2 linked regions of the Caenorhabditis elegans genome follow. The protein of the gene in region 1 purifies or fractionates together with the protein of each later gene. This does not show direct contact. Each region holds a gene or a part of one and is shown in the gene's direction. Other genes may lie near its edges. The genes, in order: Y48B6A.13 and Y54E5A.2.

Region 1 (9,570 bases):
TTTTTCTTTAAAAAATCTGGAAAATGCCAATTTTAATTAAAAAAAAATCATTTTAAAATAATGTTTTAGTTTTTAATTTATTGAAGTCAATTTTATAATTTAAAGTTGCGTCGTTTTTTCAGATTTTTTACGGAAAAATGATTTTAAATTGAATTAAATTTTGTTTTTTAACAGAAAAATCTTTAAAAAGGTACAATTTCTTCCAATTGTAAGTTAATTTTTTCGAAGAAAATTGTGGAAAATGTCAATTTTAAAATTTATTCTTTTTAGATTTTTAGTTGAAAAAATGATTTTAGAATTTAATAAAAATTTATATTTTTCAGCTCTTTCGTGGAAAAATGATTTTAAATGGAATTAAAATTAATTTTCTATGGAAAAATTTGGAAAAATGTCAATTTTTAATCTTAAAAATCATTTTTCAATGAAAAATCTGAAAAATCAGTTATTTTTCCCTCCAAAAATACCCAATTTTTGCAGGGAGCCGTCCTCTTCGCCTCCGGATCCCCGTTCGAAAATGTCGAAATGAATGGAAAACTCTATAAGCCAGGACAGGGAAACAACGCCTACATCTTCCCGGGTGTTGCTCTCGGAGCCGTCCTCTTCCGTACCAAAAACATTCCGGACAAGCTGTTCCTTCTGGCCGCCCGTATGGTCGCCGAAGCCGTATCGGAGAAGTCGTTGAACACGTATTCACGTGTATATCCACGTCTGAAGGATATTCGAGAACTTTCGGTGAAAATTGCCGTAGAAGTTGGCGAGTATTGTTATCGACACGATTTGGCCACTTTGCACCCGAAACCCGATGATATGGTGCGGTTGTTTTTGAGTGGAAATTTGAAAAAAAAAAACGTCGGAAAATTTCGATTTTCCTGCAATTTTTAGACATTTTTTGCTGAAAAAAACATGAAAAACTGTTGAAAAATACCAAAAAAAAAAACTTTTCCCCGAAAAAAAGTGATTTTCCTCACTTTTTAATGCAAAAAATGGCCATGTGTCGATTTACGCGAATCGTGTACTCCTCGGAGAGAAAAGCAATTTTTTGAGTGGAAATTTGGAAAAAATCGGGAAAATTTCGATTTTCCTAGCATTTCAAGCTGAAAAAACATGAAAAATGGATGAAAAACATTTTTAAAAATGACAAAAAAAGACTTTTCCCCACCCGAAAAAATTGATTTTCCTCACTTTTTAATGCAAAAAATGGCCGTGTACCGATTTACGCGAGTCGTGTACTCCTCGAGGAAAAGAATAATTTTTCATGGAAAAAAGCATTTTTAGCTGAAAAACATGAAAAAATTTTGAAAAATACCTTCAAAAATGATTTTTAGACAATTTTATGCCTAAAATTGAAAAATTCTACTTATTTCTGACGATTTTTCCGAAAAAAACTGCTGAAAATATAATTTTTCACATTTTTTTTCGAATGCAAAAATATGACCGTGTGTCGATTTACGCGGTTCGTGTACTCCCCGAGGAGAATTTCCGAATTTACTATTCGAATTGCTCATTTTCATAGGTTTTTTTCCGGTGAAAGTACGATTTTTCTGGTTTCTAGTGCATTTTCAGCAGTAAATTCATTTATTTTCACTAAAAACTTTAAAAAATCAATAAATTAGGTGATTTAAATCGTTAAAAATCAAAAAATCAGCAAAAATGGACTACTTTTAGCCTAAAACGTGAATTTCCTTGCAAAAACAACGCAAACTTCTCCTCGGGGAGTACACACGAGCCGCAGATTAATCGACACTGCAAAATTCGAGTTCCTCGTAAAATTTCGCCCCTAGTCGTCTTTTTTTTGGAGTCTCTAGCTCAATTTTGAAAATTTCCGGGTTACTGTAGCCTCAGAAGTACGCAGAGCTTCGGTGTTTGCGTACTTGGCACCGGATTCTACGATATTTCGTTTAAATGAGCTGAAAATTGTTAATTAAAGTATGCTGATTCTGAATTTCGGGTTGAAAATGTCGGGAAATTTCGGGAAATTTCGGATTTTTCTGGAAATTTCAATTTTTTAAAGAGAAATTTTGCTTCTTTTTTTTTTTGGGAAATTTTAATTTTTTGAAAATTTCGATTTTTTTGACCTTGAACTTGGAAATAAAAGTGAAAAATTGATTCTAAAAATAATAGTTTCCCCTAAAAATTGTCAAAAATCTTAAAATTTTTCAAATATTTTGGAATTTTTTGAGAAATTTCAATTTTTAACCCGAAATTTCCGAAAAAAATCTCAAAAAAAAGGAAAATGAGAAGTTAAAAAACGCAATTTTCCCCTAAAAAATTGTCAAAAATTTTGGGATTTTTTGAGAATTTTTAATTAATTTTTAACTAGCAATTTCTCAAAAAATTTGTTAAAAAATTTCGTAAAATTGGTTAAAAGTTTGTGCTTTTTTTTCAGTTTTAAATTTATAAAAAATTTGAATTTTTCCAGGAAATGTTCATTCGCCAGAACCTGTACAGTGTTGAGTATGATGAGCTGATCAATAAGACTTACGAATGGCCAGCCAAGGATTCGAAACACGGTTTCCCGGTTCCAGTGTTGAGAAGAACCTCGATGGACGAGGAATAATCTTTTATTTTATCGTTTTTTTTCCCAATTTTTTTCGCATTTTTCTCTAGTCTCTCTCTCCATCTCTCTTTCCCGCGTAAATACACCCTATTTTACCTTTTTACCCCTAAAAATTCATTTTTTTTTCACAAAGTTCTTAATGTCTACGTGTATAGCATAATCCTATGGATTTTTAGATTATACAAAAATTTAATTATATAAATTTACATGTAAATTTAGCTTGTTAGGGCATTTTTCCAGTTTTTTTTTGTTCCTGTTGGATTTCCAGATTTTTGCCGCTTTTTTTGGTCACTCCGTTTTCCAGCAATTTTTCAGATTTTTTGCCACCAGAATGAGCCAAGACGATGGAGCAGCGGAGGCGGAGGCGACGGTCCGAGTTCCGATGAACATTGCACTTGTCAAGTATTGGGGAAAACGAGATGATCTACTCATTCTGCCGCTCAATGATTCGATTTCACTGACCGTGGATCGGCTGACGGCGGAGACGACAATTCGGATGGTTCCTGGAGTTGGGAAGCATACGGTAGCGCGGAATTTTGGAGCGGGAAATTTTTTTTGTTGAAAAATCTGGTTTCCATGAAAAATATCGAAAAATTTGAGAAAAAATGACTTTTTTCCCTCAAAAAATGCCATAAATATTACCCAAAAAAGCGAAGTTTGCTATTTTTGCGCAAAAAATACGGTACCCCGAGTCTCGAAACGACCGAATTTTTGTTAAATGCAAAATGCAAAGATGTGATGCGCCTTTAAAGATACTGTAGTTTCAGAATTTTTTAAAATTGATTTTTCATAGTTTTCCGCTAGGGAAAATCAATAAATTCTGATTTGAAACTACAGTACTCTTTAAAGGCACACATCTTTTGTTTTTAACAAAAAAATTTTTGTCGTGGCGAGACCCGGTAATGTATTTTTGGCGCGAAAATCGTAATTTTCGCGTCTCGGTAATATTTTTAAAAAGTGAAAAAGACAAAAATCGTAGTTTTTCATGAATTTGAATATTAAAAAACCATTTTTTTTAATAAAAAAAAAAATTAAAATTCGATTTTTTTTTGAAACAAACCTTAAAAAATTCAAAATTTAATATTTTCTTTAAAAAGCAAAATTTTTAAATTTTGTATTATACTGAAATTCTTTTTTTAAAAATTTTTTCCCGAAATTTAAAATTTTTAATTCAGGTTTCGCGGAAAATCACGCAATAATTTTTCCTAAAATTGCAAAAAAAAATCAAAAAATAAAAAATTTCAGCTTGAAAATAATTTTGTCGAAAATATATTTTTCAAAAACAAACCCTTATTTTAAAGAATTATAGATCAAGAGTCATTGGAAAATCAGAATTTCAGAGTTTTTTCTGTGACTTTCATTATTTTAAGTTTGAAAATATCGAAAATATTGTAAAAATCAAATATTCTAATAGAAAAAGTTATTTTTTAAAAAAACTCAAATTAATTTAAATTCCTGAAAAAAATTGAAATTATCCCAATTTTTTACATTTTTATTCGAGAACCCAAAGCATAATATTTTTCTCGGAATTTTAGAAAAAAGTCTAAAAATTAAAATTTTTACAAAATTAATTTTTTTGAAAAATGTGAAAAAATTTAAAGGTGGTGTAGTCGAATTTTTTAGTGCTTTGTTAGACTCAAAATTGTCTGAAAACACCGAATTTCATAATGAAACTTTTTGAAATCTTTTCAGAAAAAAGTTATGACGGCTCAAAAAATAGCTTAAAGTTAGTTAAAATCGGAAATTGTCTGGAAACTTACTTTTTTGAAATCGCCGTAAAATTTGAAGTATACAAGTTGATTACCTTGCGTTTTAAACTTGGTTAAGGTATTTAAAAATCGATGGACGGCGATGGATTTTCAATTTATTTGAGCCAAAACTCGCCGTCCATCGACTTTAAAATACCTTAATGAAGTTTAAAACGCGAGATAATCAACTTGTACACTTCAAATTTTACGGTGATTTCAAAAAAAAACTGTGTCCAGCCGCTGACAAGTCAAGTTTCCGATTTTAACTAACTTTAAGCCATTTTTTGAGCCGTCATAACTTTTTTCTGAAAAGATTTCAAGAAGTTTCATTATGAAATTCGGTGTTTTCAGACAATTTTGAGTCTAACAAAGCACTAAAAAAATTCGACTACACCACCTTTAAATGTTTTCACATTTTTCAAAAAAATTAATTTTGTAAAAATTTTAATTTTTAGACTTTTTTCTAAAATTCCGAGAAAAATATTATGCTTTGGGTTCTCGAATAAAAATGTAAAAAATTGGGATAATTTCAATTTTTTTCAGGAATTTAAATTAATTTGAGTTTTTTTTTTAAACAACTTTTTCTATTAGAATATTTGATTTTTCCAATATTTTCGATATTTTCAAATTTAAAATAATGAAAATCACAGAAAAAACTCTGAAATTCCAGATTTTCCACTGACTCTTGATCTATAATTCTTTAAAATAAGGGTTTGTTTTTGAAAAATATATTTTCGACATTTCGGAAGTAAAATTATTAAATTATTTTCAAGCTGAAATTTTTTATTTTTTGAATTTTTTTTGCAATTTTAGGAAAAATTATTGCGTGATTTTCCGCGGAACCTGAATTAAAAATTTTAAATTTTTCACTGATTTCTCAAAATAGCCACAAAAAACTCTTCAGAAAATTCCTAAATTCTCCATTTTCCAGGTAGAAATAAATGGAAAATCAGTGGAACTGAGCTCCAACAAACGATACCAAACAGTCTTCGATGAGGCTCTCCGACTTCAGAGGAAACGAAAAGAAGCAGAAGCATCATCGGCGGATTCAAATGGAAATGATCCTCCGCCGATCTTCTACCATTTCCACGTCACCTCGACTACGAATTTTCCGGTTGCAGCTGGGCTGGCATCCTCGGCCGCCGGATTTGCTGCAATTGCATTGGCAATTCAACGGATTCTACGACTAGATGATTCTCAAGCGAATCGGCTCGCAAGAATTGGATCAGGAAGTGCCTGCCGGAGCATGTATGGAGGATTGGTGCATTGGAGGAAAGGGGAGATGGATGATGGATCGGATTGTTTGGCTGTGGTACGGGAAGTCGAGAAAATTCAGTGGAAATTGGAATTTTTGGAGCAAAAAATCGAGATTTTGGCACTTTTTTTACTCTACAATGACAAAAAAAGCTCTAAAAATCACACTGCAACTTTTTCCTCACGAGGGACGAGGAAAAGTGGTTTCTAGGCCATGGCCGAGGGGCCGACAAATTTCAGCGGTCATTAATCTTGCTTTGTTTTCCGCCTGTTTTCTTTTGTTTTTCACAGATTTTTCCCGTTTTTTCTTATTAAAACTGATAAATAAATACTTTTTGCAGATGCTAAAACATTTTCCAAGTAAAAAAATTATGTATTCAGTGGGCAAGCAGCGGTGAAAGTGGTCAATGCAATATGATGGATTACGGGAATACAAAACCTAAACTTTTTCTGAAACATGATACATGTGCTGCTTAAATGCTGAGACTACCTGATTTTCATAACGAGACCGCTGAAAAAGTTTTGAGGTTTTTAAAATTCAACTTTTTGTGCGAAAATCTCGACTTTTTCACCAAAAAAGTTGAATTTTGGAAACCTCAAAACTTTTTCAGCGGTCTCGTTATGAAAATCAGGTAGTCTCAGCATTTAAGCAGCATATGTATCATGTTTCAGAAAAAGTTTAGGTTTTGTATTCCCGTAATCCATAATTTTACATTGCCCACTTTCACCGCTGCTTGCCCACTGAATACACTTTTTTTTACTTGGAAATTGTTTTAGCATCTGCAAAATTATTTATTTATCAGTTTTATTAAGAAAAAACGAAAAAAATCGATGAAAAACGAAAGAAAACAAGCGGAAAACAATACAAGATAAATGGCCGCTGAAACTTGTCGGCCCCTCGGCCATGGCCTAGAAACCACTTTTCCTCGTCCCTCGTGAGGAAAAAGTTGCAGTGATCAGGATTTTTTTCCGTTTTTTTTATTTCAGAAATTTTTTTACAAAAACTTTTTTTTTTTTGATTTTCCGTAAAATCAAAAATTGGAAAATTTCCACATTTTTAGTCATTTTCTGAGAAAAAAAAAAGAAAAATTGTTCACTTTTTCAGAATTTTTCGTCTGAAAACTCAATTTAAGTGAAAAAGGTCATATATTAGAAAATAAAAACCGAGCACAAAGCGGAAACAATCAAAAATTTGAAAATTTTCCCAAAAATGAGAAAAAACCAAAACAGAGCAGACGAAGAGTTATACAAATACTCGAAAATTGAAAAAAAATCAATTCCAGCCGCCAAATTAAATCGGTGGCCGAGGCTTTTTCAATGGTTTTGATTTTTTTAAGGGAACTTATTACAGGAACACTAAATTCTGAGAATGCGTATTAGGCAACATATTCGACGCGCAAAATATCTCGTGGCGAAAACTACAGTAACTCTCTAAATGACTGTCGATTTACGGGCTCGATTTTCGAAACGAATTTCTGTTCGAAAGCCCGTAAATCGACACAAGCTCTACAGTAGTCATTTAAAGAGTTACTGTAGTTTTCGCTACGAGATATTTTGAGCGTCAAATATGTTGTGCAATACGCATTCTTAGAGTTCAGTGTACTCGTATTAAGTTTCCTTTAAAAAATCAACCATTGGAAAAACTTCGGCCACCGATTTAATTTGGCGGCCAGAAATGGTTTTTTTAATTAATTTTCGAAAAATTTTATAACTCTTCATCACCTCTGGTTTTAAAAAATAATAATTTTTCTGAAAAATGTAGAGATTATAACTGAATTAATGAATTTTCAGATAATAAAACCCTGGAAAAGTGAAAAAAGTTTCGATTTTTTTCTCAAAAAATAACTAAAAATTTGAAAAATTTGTATATTTCGATTTTACGGAAAATTAAAAATAAATCAATTAAAAAAATTAAATTTAAAAAAATAAAAACTATATTTCCAGAGAACAGAAGCCGCCGCCAACTGGGAAGATCTCTACTGCATAATTCTAGTCTTCGACGATGGCCGCAAAAAAGTGGGCTCCAGTGAAGGAATGCGAAGATCACGAGAAACATCTCAACTTCTCAAGCATCGCATTGAATCGATAGTTCCTCAACGAATCCAACAAATCCAGGAAGCGTATACTTCACGGAATTTCGAGCAGCTCGCACGCGTCATCATGGCCGATAGCAATCAATTCCACGCGGTTTGCATGGATTCTACGCCGCCAATTCGGTATTTGAATGAAGCATCGTGGCAGTTAATCGACACAGTTGAAGAGTTTAATATTGGAGGAATTCGAGCTGCTTATACATTTGACGCCGGTCCGAATGCGTGTGTTATTGTGCAAAAGTAGGTGGTGGAAAAAATTGATTTTTGAGGAAAAATATTAAAAACAAATATTTTTTTTTCAGAGAAAATGCGTCTCAATTCCTGAAAGCTGTGCTCCAAACTATCCAAGTCCCTTCAGAAGATCTACAAGTCATTGGAAAAGAGCTCGCCGAGCAATTTGACGTCCCAGCGGAGCCGACGACGAAATGCTCCAAATTAATTATGAGCCCAATGGGTGGCGGGCCTCAGGAATAGGAATCTTTTATAATTATTGTTGTTCTTGTTGAATTTTTATTGTTTTTTAAATATAGATAGAATATATGAATTAATTTGATATTTAATATTTGTTGATAAATATACAAAAAAAAATATAAAAAACAATTCTGAAAAAAATAAATAAAAACTCTACGAATTTTCAGAGATCGGAGCGGCTCAACAACTGGAGCAATTTCGAAAATATAATGTTCGTAATTATTTCTAAGTTTGTGTTGTCTCAGAGCCATGTCTGAAAAAACAGATTTTTTTTCGAAAATTTTAAAAAGTTCGTAGAAATTGGATTTTTGACAAATCTATGCTCTCTTTTTTTGTTTGAAATTTAGTTCAGTGACATACAATTTCAAAAATATAATGTTCGTAATTATTTATAAGTTTGTGTTGTCTCAGAGCCATGTCTGAAAATTTTAAAAAGCTCGGAGAAAAAAATTTTTTTGTTTGAAATTAATTCGATTTTGAACATTTCTACTATCTTTTTTTTAAAACATGTATTTCAGTGAATAGAAGACTCAAAATTATAATGCTCGTAATTATTTATAAGTGTGTGTTGTCTCAGAATCAATTCTAAAAAACAGATTTTTTTCGAAAGTTTAAGTTATATCCGCGGAAAAAATTCAATTTAGGACATTTCTATTATCTTCATTAAAATGGATAATATTAAAATGAGGGGAAATAATACACAAGTACCAAAATTGAGAACATATAAAATCAGGTATTTATTGCCATTATTGCACGCCATATTTGACGCGCAAAATATCTCGTAGCGAAAACTACGGTAGCGTCGATTTACGGGATCGAATGGATTAAAATAATTTTTTTATCGATAGAATATTGATAATTGAATAATTTTAAATTTGATTAACTAAATTTTAATTCAGAAAACTGTTGAATTTTTCGATTTTCAAAATTTTCTAAATTGCGCTACAGTAATCATTTAAAGAGTTACTGTAATTTTCGCTACGAGATATTTTGCGCGTCAAATATGTTGTGCAATACGCATTCTTCAAATTTTGTGTTCCCGTAATAGATTTTTTGGCGTTCACAATTGATTATTACGTATCCATGATTTGATGAGAACGCCAGCTCTCTCTTCTCCACACGCTCTCTCACCATAGGCGTTTTGCATAGGCGTTAGACAGCGTGCGAGAAAAAGAGACGCAGGTGCTTTTTGCGCGTAAAATATGGCGATTTTTCTCACTCGCATATGGATACGTGATACACGAACTTAAAATAAGTTTTACTTCTCTTGGAAGAGTTAATGGCCATGGTGATCGTGGCTGGGTGGTGGTGGGTAGTTGGTATTCATTTGGTGCCGGATTCTGGAAATATGCATATTTTTTAATATACCTTTTTTGCGCCCTATTGCATTGGAAGCCGGTAACCATTTTATAAGAGTTTAACAATTGTGAATTTTTGCCATAAATTG
Region 2 (10,128 bases), on another chromosome or scaffold:
ACCGCAAAAGTAGGCTTCAAGTATTATTAATATCCAATCAGCATCTTGTAATAACCAACACATAAAAATTTGAAATATTACCAAACTAGACACCACGTATTTTAGAGATGGATCAACGCCGAATAGCTAAAATTTTCAGTTTCAGAAAATGCTCATACGTTTTAAAATATAAACTCACCTTTTTAACTTCTGGGTACTTTTTCACAATTTCCTCTCGTCTACTCATATGTGGCTGCTCTGTTAACGTCCAAATAAAATCATCTCGACTCACTGATTGCCCCATTTTAAGAGCAGTTTTGAGATCTGAAAAGTAGAAATTTTAAATAGAGAGCGCGGTGAGGGGGAGAGTGCAGACACTGCCTGCGCTCTCCCCCACCCCCACGCTCTCTCGCTAAAGAAACTTTGAAGAGATGTATCCCGGCAGGTAGGAAAGATAGAAAAACACTGTAAAAGGAAAAATTGTGTAGAATTGGATTTTCTACAAGAGGAGTGAATTGAATTCTGAAAATTTTGAAACAAATTTTGTGAAATGATTTTTTTGGGGGTTTGATTTTGTTAAATTTTCAAAAACTAATAATAACTAAATTTTGACAAAAAAAACCATTTAAATTCAAAATTCCAGTAATAAAAATTAAAAAAAACCGTGTAAATCACCTCTACAAATTCCTGCACAAAAAGAAAATCAATGGGCGGTTATTTTTCTTTCGGAACACATTAAAATGGGCAGTTTTTGTGTGATAAGATCACGTCTTAAAAATGATAAGAACACGAATATGATGAATCAGGAAAGGAGAGAGCAGGAGAGCAGCAGAGAAACAGACTATAAGGCACACGTAGTGATGTATTTGTTCTTGAGAGCAAAGAGTGCGCAGGGACTATAGAGACATTCCAATCCAGGTACAATATGATCTTTGGATAGACTTGAAGAGGAATTTGGAATTGAGTTACATTGAGAAGTGGTGTAACTTTTTGAAAATTTTGAAAAAAAAAACATTTAATTAAAAAAAAAAAAATTTCCAAAACTTTACAATCTTTTAGAAAATCTAATTCTACACAATTTTGCTTTTACAGTATGCTTCTACCTATCTTACTTGCAGAGATACACCGCTTCAAAGTTTTGAAGGCGAGAGAGTGTGGAAGAGGGAGAGAGCGCAGTGTCTGCGCACTCCCCTCCCCCACACTTTCTCACCCCGTCGAATTTGAAACGCGTGTAACTCTGTGGAAAAAAGAGGTAGAGAAACAATGATAACTGCAAAAATGTAGAGAATTTTGAGGAGAATATTTTGTTGGCTGAGAAAATTTTGATATCTTCATTTTTCAGGAAGATATAGGGGGCTTAAGAAATATTTAGTTAAAAATTCGTAAAACCACGCACAAACAAGTAAAAAATAGCGCGAGTGCTTTTTAAAGCAAAACATCTAGCAAAGGTTGCACATTTTCAAACTAAAAATTTATATTTTTCAATAAATTCAAAGGCACATATGCTCTCTGAGACAAAAAGTGATAAATTGGAAACCTTATAGGATGAAAAGCCAGAGGGGGAAATTGGTTGGTTAGCAACCACCTGAATCCAGTTTCCGTTGCTCTTGGAGCACACACATACGGAAAGGTGGACTTATTGCGTAGAGAATGCAACTATACATGCAAATAGAAAGGAAGGAACTGTGTGTGTGTGTGTTTTGAGAGCGAGACGGGAGAGGGAAGCGATGCTCTTTTTTTCCAATGATTCACTAGGTATTGGTCATTTTCGTGGTAAAACAAACAGTTTCAGACAGTAGAGTATAGGGAAATTGATAATGAAAACTAGACGGAAACATTATGAAATATCATTTGGAAAACTAAAAATTGAAAATTCAAATTCAAACATTCATTTTTCATAAATTTCATAAATGCTAAAACTCAAAACGTTATCCAGTAGAAAATCCAATTCTACACATTCTTGTCTTTTACACTACCTCTCTATCTTTCCTACCCGCCGAGTTACACCACGCTGAAGTTTTGGCGGGTGAGAGAGTGTGGGGGAGGGGGAGAGCGCAGGCAGTGTCTGCACTCTCCCCCTCCCTCGCGCTCTCTCACCCGCCAATCTTAAAACGCCTGTCACTTTGAGCAGAGGAGTGCAATTAAAATATTGTAAATTGCAAAAATGTACAGAATTTCAAGGCGTATATTTTGTTAGTTAAGTAAAATTTGGTAGAATAAGCTTCCGGTTAGATATGGCACTTTTGGCTCTTACCCAATAAATGCAGAATATCTTTGTAGAGCAAAACACTGCTCAAATACACTTTTTAGTTTGAATTTCAGGAAAAAAAAACAAGAAACTAAAAAAAACTCCGAACAATTTGTTTTTATTGCAATATATAGAGAATCAAATTCTGAACATTTTTCCTTTTTACAATATTTTTGTATCTTTCCTCTCTGCAAAGATACACCTCTTCTAAGTTTCGGTGTTGAGAGCGTGGAGGGAGAGGAGAGTGCAGGCAGTATATCTCTCTGCACTCTCGCCCTCCCCCACACTCTCTCACCCCAAAAAACTTCAAACGCTCACAACTTCACGCAGAGAAATGCTATCAAAAAGTGTTTAACTAACAAAATGTAGAGAATTTCACGGGGTATATTTAATTTTTAATTAAATTTTCGATACGATTTATTTAAAAAATATGTTTTTAAAAATAATTTATCACGTAAAAACTTTTTAAATCCATTGAAAAATCAATCTGCTTCATTTCTCCAAACCAACCATGGTTTTGTTGTTCAATTTTCTGAAACTTATGCTTTTTTCGACAGTGCATGGAATTGTTATCGAGTTTGGTAAGGAGACCTCTTCGCTGGAGCGCGTTTGCAGCCCCTTTCTGCAAAGTCTCAAATCTACTGTTTTTTTTTCAGAAAGACGAGCGGAACTCTACTCCCTGTACTCCTCAATTCCATTATCAAAAGACACGTGGAGATTTGAGAATTACCTGAACGTTCACAAGTACAACAATATACTATTCGACGGAAAAATCTTGGAATTCGACTCACTGGGATGGTTAAATGGGAATCAGACGATTTATCACAAATTACCATATTTTATATCGAATCCGGCGTTTCGAATTCCTCATATATCAAAGGAATTGTGTGATTCTAACGGGTTCTTTAATATTGGATTTCGCATTTTTCAGGTTTAATTTTTTTTTCTATTTATTCGATAATTTTTATATAATATTGTTGAATTTTAGCTTTTCGGGCCTAAAAATCTATAAAAACGGCAAAAGTTCGGTGGAGCGCGTTTGCACACTCGCGAATCGTGCCAAGACCAGTTTTAATCAATTTTTAAGATCATAGACAAATGCAGCTGTTTTTCTGCTAGATTTTATATGTTTCTAGTGAGCAAATTCATTTCATGAGCAAAAGAGAAAAAAAAATGATTAAAATAAATTTGGTGAAGCGCACTTTTACACGTGGTGTCAGGCGTTTTCCATAAAGTTTTGTAGATTTTAGTGTTAAAGTTCAAAATTTAGACATGTTATAGAGGCGTAGCGTAAATTTGAATGATCTACAATAAAATGCGGAAATTTTTTGCCCAGTAAAATGTGTCGCCAGCACACTTACAAAATTTGTTGAGAAATCTGCGACTCAATTCCCGCATTTTTTGAAGATCACACCGAAATGGGACACTCTGACCACGTGTTTTATTATCTTTTGCGGGCTTATTCACATGAAAAAAACCGTTTTTTTTCTATAAAATTTTGTAGATTTGAGTGTAAAAGTTCAAAATTTAGACCTGTTATAGGGGCGGAGCGTAAATTTTCAATTGTTTTTCCCGCCCCTTTTTTTTTGAGATCGCCTTCCCCCGATATTTAAATTCTCCAGAAAACGCTGCCCCTGCATCAAAATCAACGTTATTTTGCAGAAAACTCGCGAAGCGGGCCTCCCGTACCAACCGCAATGTGCCACGTGTCATCCGATAATTGAAGGTCTCCATCAAATGTACTACGTATTCCCGGAACGTGATTTCACTCAGATTTTCACGAAATTGACGATCGGCTCTCGAAAAATCAATAATTTATTGCACTATTGTAGTCGGGAGGATTGTGAACAGGAGCCACGTGTCTCGAATTTTCAGGATTACTTGAGAATTAATAGTGAGTGTATTATTTAACTTGGCTGAAAATTAGACGAACTAGCTGAAATTACCCTCAAAGTATCAGAAATTTATTTCTGAATTCAATGAGTCTAGTTAAGCATAGCATACATATCACAAGCCTTCATTATCTCTCAAGGGTACTCCTAAGGTGCTTAGTAGGTACAGTGCACCCAACAGCTACTTTTTTATAGAAAACTAGTATTGGAATTGGAATCAGCATACCAAAAAACCTATGGATCTATAATTTTATCATGATATCTCAAAAGTTGAGTGCAAAAGAGCAAAAAGTTGAAAAATCGACCGCCCAACTGCTATGGGACCCCCCCCCTGCGATTTTCGACAATTTCGCCGAAAATTCTCATTTTTTCAAGAAGCATAAAATTTTTCAGTTTCAAAAATACATTTAATGTAGTAATTTGGTGGTGTAATTTTTGTTTTTCATATCATCGAAATAACTGGAAACCTGCAAAAGCTTGATTTTCAACTTTTTATGACCTTTAAGCCCGACATGAAGCTACTGAGCGGGCTATTTTTTTAAGTTGTAAATGGCTTTTAGCAAGTTTTTTGGTGCCACTTGGTGTTTAAGCTCGTATCTGAGCAGCCGATGGAGCTTTCTTTACAAAATTTTACAGGCTATTTTGCTTAAAAATCCACAAATCATGCACCATAAACAATAGCTTCATCATACTTAAAATAATGTAGTACCATTAAAAACCCTAAGCTTAGTACTTTTGAAGCTTGTATAGTTTATCTAGAACTAGCTTATATCTGTAAATCATCCCGAAATTGAGCCAAATTAACTGAAAATTATTGTGAGCACATTTTTGATTCCAGTCCCTGTGACGCCGTTTTCCTTTTTATATCTTTTGCCAAACTACACCTTCCACAGACCTGCATTTTGGAAAGGTGACAAGATGGAGTGGAGAGCATGGAGCCACTGAAACCGACAGAGAAGCTATAGGGCTCCCCAATGGAGAGCTGGCGGTTGGTTTCCAGGACTTTACTCTCTGAAAAACTCAAAAATTTACAGATTCATTCTCGAAAAATTGAAGGATTTACTACAATGTGTGGAATTGAGTTGAATGGTAAAATTGTGAGCAGCTATAACTTTGTGAATGAGGATATTATTGGGGACGGAGAGCAGAATGGTAAGCTTTATTGACTTTATCGTATAGAAATTCAAATTCTGATTCTTTCTTCGTTTTCCATGATTTCTCTATCTCTACTCCCCGCCGAGATATACCCCGCTTTGAAGTTTTATTAGCGAGAGAGCGCGGAGGAGGGGGAGAGTGCAGACACTGCCAGCGCTCTCCTTCTCCTCTACACTCTCGCATTGGGAAAACTTTGAAAGCTTGTAACTTTGCGCAGAGGAATGCTATCAAAGAGTTGTCAACTGCCGAAATGTATAGAATTTTAATGAGCATATTTTGTTAGTTGGCAACTTTTTCGTGTGATCATTTTTTAAGGAAAAAACTCAGAAATTCCAAAATCCATATAACGTTCTTTATGGATCCCTAGTTAACAACCCTTTCATTTTAATTTATCAGGAAGATATCAAAATTCTGGCAATTAGTTGACAGATGACAAAATATAGAGAATTCCATTGAAAATACAGTTTCAGATAAAATCTTCACCTACGAAAACTACGAGTCTCTGGAAATTTCAATAAACTCTGTGAACGACACTAAGAACAATATTCAATTGTTCATCTCCTGGGATGATTGGGGTTGCTGTTCGGCGTGCTGCTGTCCCACCTCAATCTGTGGACATGATTATGAGACTGCTAGTGATTGGTCAGTTTTCACCTCTTATTTTTAGTACATATTTAAAATTTTCAATGAAAATCAATATTCCGCTCGCACCCGAGTTGGGCATTTGTCGATTAGGAAGTGGAAAATGGAAAAGGAAGCGCAGGTAAGATGGAAGTTATTTGAAGTGGCTGTAGCTTTGTAATAGTACAAGCTACCAAATAGTTATCAACTGACAAGTTGTAGGAAATTAATTTCTCTACAGATTACCAACTTTTTGATAGCTAGGTAACTTTGCGGAGATACAGGAGTTCCTCCAAGATAGTTCGAAAGCTTTCTAGCTCCGTTCAGATGTAAGATCTCAAAGTATTGTTAGCTAGCAAAATGTAGCAAATTAGATTCTTTATAGAATTAACTACTTTTAGTTAACTACTTTTTGGCACCTACAAAATTCTCCGAGTTATAGGAGTTTTGAGATAGCGCTTCACTTCCCCCAGAAGACTAGCCCAAAACCTGTCTAATCCCGTTCAGATACTTGATATCAAAAAGTTGTTATCTATGATAGCAACTTGTAGAAAATTAAATTCTCTACAAAGTGTTCGTTTTACAATTCCCATCACCTCTCACCATTTCAATTTCCAGCCCAACCAACCCAGCGAGTCACTGAACCAACTTCACAGACTGCTCTCAATCCCTCCGTATGCTCATCAGGGAATTCCATTGTTCTCGTCATTGTTGAAAAGAATTGTGCTTGAGGATATTTTAAGAGATATCCGAAGTGATTTGGTGCCAAAGTTCATTGTAGCTAACAAGGCTGCTGGGTAAGTTGAAAGGGAATTTTTAGGTTTTGAGGGGAGGTGGTTAAAAGCTTCTTTAAAACCCCCATATCTTTGCGCAAAAATGAGATACGAAGAAAGTATCAATTAATCAACTTAACTACTTTAAATTTGCTTGAAATTTCTAGTTGACAAGTTTTCTGTAGCTCTTACGGATTCGGAGCTACAGAAATCATAAAAACAGGTGTATTTTTGCGTGGGTGGGAGGCAGAATATTTGTTTTAATTAATAAAATAAACTACATAAAATTTTCTACAAATTGTTAGTTGACAACTTTTATGTAGCTCCTATTACCACCGAGATAAAGCCCGCTGAAATTTTTCTCAAAAATGCTAAAAAACTTTTTTTTTTCCAAAGTTTCAAAATCTTTTTCGCCCATCTTGTAGAGCATGAAATTCTGAGCATTTTTCAATTTTGAGATACACCGCTTTAAAGTTTCTGCGGTGTCTGCGCTCTCCCCTCGCCACACACTCTCTCACTTACCTTGCAAACTTAAAACGCTTATAACTCTGCGGAAAGCAAAGCTAATGAAATTTTGTAAATGGACAAAATATAGGAAATCGAATTCTCTACATTTTGGCAATTAACAGTTTTTTTGATACGACTGCTGTTTCCAGGCACAAATTCACGTCTGGAATGTTCATCGAATTAGAGTCCTGCAAGTCGAATATTCAAAAGACGAATTGCTACGAGTGGGCCAAGTGCCACAATATTTCGATGGTAAGTTCAGTGTAGACAGGCAGGCATGTAGGCATACCTACGTTTAGGAAGACGTCCACGTGGAATCCGAGGAGCAAGTTTCCGATTCGTGTCAGCAAGTGCAATTTATCGATGTGCTCGTTGGAATGGATAATATGAAAGTGACGTGGGTTTTTGCTTCCTTAGTTCAGTAGAGCGCAATTGCAAAATGGGAGACATTGATAAGGACTCGATCATGTTTAAATTTGATTAGGAAATTATTGTCAATCGGATGCAATTGTGCTCTATCGCAAAATTTTCTGGAACAATCGATATTAACAATATCGATTTTTTATTATCGATTCCACAAAAATGCCTACTTGTTCGATAGAGCGCTTTTACATCATCAGGAGCAAAATTATCGATTTTTCAGCGTCGGAGCCCACCAACATCTCCGTATCCGAATGGATTCAGAAGTTCACGATATGCGAACCACGTCCGCCAAATGGAGAATTGATCTTCGAAAACCCAAAAAATACGATAAGAACCGCCCGTGTCTGCTGCAGGGAACCGTGCAACGTGGCGGCGAGCTACTCATTCTTGACTTTTCCACGTGGCACATGAAAATTGATTTGATTTTGGCGAAGGAACGGAAGAAGGTTCGAATCACTTTTCATAATTTAAAGTGAGTTTGGAAATTTTTTGGGAATTTTTCAGATTTTCTTTTTCAGATTTTCAATTTTCAAATGTTTCCAATTTTCCCTGAAACTTTTTATAACATTTAACAATTTCGATTTTTTTCAATTTTCAGAATTTTTCGAAAATTGCTACTAGTTGGGAAAATTCTGGGAAATTAATGTTTTTTTTGAAAATAATGGAATTTTATCGATTTTCCAGAATTTCCTGGAGTTTGATTTATTGCCAAATAATTTTTGGAAAAGTCTGAATAGTTAAAAAAAAAGTTGAAAAACGTCCGAAAAAACGTCGGAAAAATTTCAAATTTTTTTAAGGTTTAAAAATTCAAAAAAATGCGATTTTTAAAAAAAATTTTTGATTTTAGAATTTTCGGGATATTTCAGAAATATCGATTTTACAGAATTTTTTGAGGCTTTTCATGGAATTTGGAATTTTGGGGAATATATATTTGATAACAAATTTCGAACTTTCAGAGTTGACGAGAAGGTTTCTGCAATACAAAATACTGTATTCTATTGGGCGCTGGCAATTGCTGGTAAGAGTTTTTGAAGAAAATTAAAATTGAAATAGTGAGAATTTACAACAAAAAATTCCAATAATTTAATACTTCTGAAAACTTATCGCGTCTAATGAAAGTAAAATGCTGAATTTCAAAAAAAAAGAATCAGCTCAAAAATAATAAAACATTTTCAGCATTCTTCCTGCTTCTCGTCACTGCCGTCATTTTAATGCACAGAGAGAAGACACGGCGTTTGGAGAAAACTCTTAAATCAGTTAATTCACACTAGTACATTGTCGAGAGAACTCGGATTTTATAAATAAATGATGAATTTATGGTGTTTCAAAATTTTTGATTTTTACTATAAATGACTCATTTTTGGCATTTTTCAATAGTTTTTGACGGGTTAAACCTAGATTTTCTGAATTCAGCGTGTATGAATTACCCGTTTTCAACAAATTTAGACAACTTTTTATTTTTGCCAAAATTTTTTTCAGCCATCTAATGACTGTCCTTTTTTTTATTTTGGGCAAAAAAATAATTGTCTTGAAAATGTTTAAAACTACTATATTCTGAAAAAGGGCAATTTTTTAGTGATCCTAAATCAATTTTGAGTCCTCTAACTACAAAATTGCCCGTTTTAGTGAAGTTTCAAAATTGTGAATTTTTGCCATAAATTGGCCATTTTTGCCACTTTTTAATAGTTTTTGACGGACTAAACCTAGATTTTCTGAATTTTGCATGTATGAATTACCCGTTTTCAACAAATTTAGACAACTTTTTATTTTTGCCCAAATTTTCTAATGACTGTCCTTTTTTTTTATTTTGGGCAAAAAAATAATTTTCCTGAAAATGTTCAAAACTACTATATTCTGAAAAAGGTCAATTTTTAGCCTGCAGTAATCATACAAAACAACTAAAGTAAGCCCACAGTACCCTTACAGTACCTTAACATCATCCCCACCAACTCCCAACAAAATACCTCTACTAAAGCTAAAAATTCAAATTTCCCAAACTACAATAATTCTACAGTATCCCTACAGTACCCGTACAGTAATCCTTCAATACCCTTATAGTACCTTAATTTTTGATGAAAAATTCAAAAATTTTACAAAAAATCAGATTTCATGGGAAAATTTGCTGTGTAGAGACAATGTAAAATTAAAATCGAATAAGCTTAATGTAAGAATAGGGTAAGAACAGGAAAAGCGTGAGGAATCGAAAGAAAGATCAGAAAAAATAAATATTTCACAAATTAAATAATAAAACCAGTCATCATGAAATAAAAAAATAAATAATTATTTCTTTGAACTGAACAAAAGACCACTGGAATTATTAGCAACAGTCGATGCAAATGGTGTAGTTGTGGTGGCTGGTTTGGTTGATCCGAAGAGTGATGTAGTCGGAGTTGTGGTGGTGGCAGCAGCTGAGGATGTTGCAGTAGAAGTTGTTGCACCGAATAGAGATCCTCCAGAGAAAGCTGGTTTTGTGGCCGTTGATCCGAAAAGAGAAGTTGTTCCTGAGAGAAATTGAAGGTTTAGATTTTAA

What was found.
Region 2: the proteins of Y48B6A.13 (region 1) and Y54E5A.2 fractionate together in Caenorhabditis elegans (co-fractionation; one large-scale study listed by BioGRID). This does not show direct contact.

What each region holds. Positions count from the first base shown.
Region 1 is NC_003280.10:14,219,578-14,229,147, reverse strand, and holds Y48B6A.13 (Diphosphomevalonate decarboxylase), read left to right. Parts: upstream 1-2,872; 5' UTR 2,873-2,888; coding exon 2,889-3,080; intron 3,081-5,236; coding exon 5,237-5,617; intron 5,618-7,503; coding exon 7,504-7,892; intron 7,893-7,954; coding exon 7,955-8,126; 3' UTR 8,127-8,209; downstream 8,210-9,570. Other genes in the region: men-1 (Malic enzyme), read left to right, coding at 478-810, 2,420-2,557.
Region 2 is NC_003279.8:14,691,432-14,701,559, forward strand, and holds Y54E5A.2 (Recep_L_domain domain-containing protein), read left to right. Parts: upstream 1-2,722; 5' UTR 2,723-2,738; coding exon 2,739-2,808; intron 2,809-2,883; coding exon 2,884-3,158; intron 3,159-3,889; coding exon 3,890-4,121; intron 4,122-5,012; coding exon 5,013-5,107; intron 5,108-5,153; coding exon 5,154-5,271; intron 5,272-5,744; coding exon 5,745-5,916; intron 5,917-6,009; coding exon 6,010-6,037; intron 6,038-6,513; coding exon 6,514-6,692; intron 6,693-7,324; coding exon 7,325-7,427; intron 7,428-7,474; coding exon 7,475-7,572; intron 7,573-7,818; coding exon 7,819-8,070; intron 8,071-8,554; coding exon 8,555-8,616; intron 8,617-8,774; coding exon 8,775-8,869; 3' UTR 8,870-8,961; downstream 8,962-10,128. Other genes in the region: ttm-5 (Putative sphingolipid delta(4)-desaturase/C4-monooxygenase), read right to left, coding at 1-126, 179-283; npp-4 (Nucleoporin p58/p45), read right to left, coding at 9,879-10,099.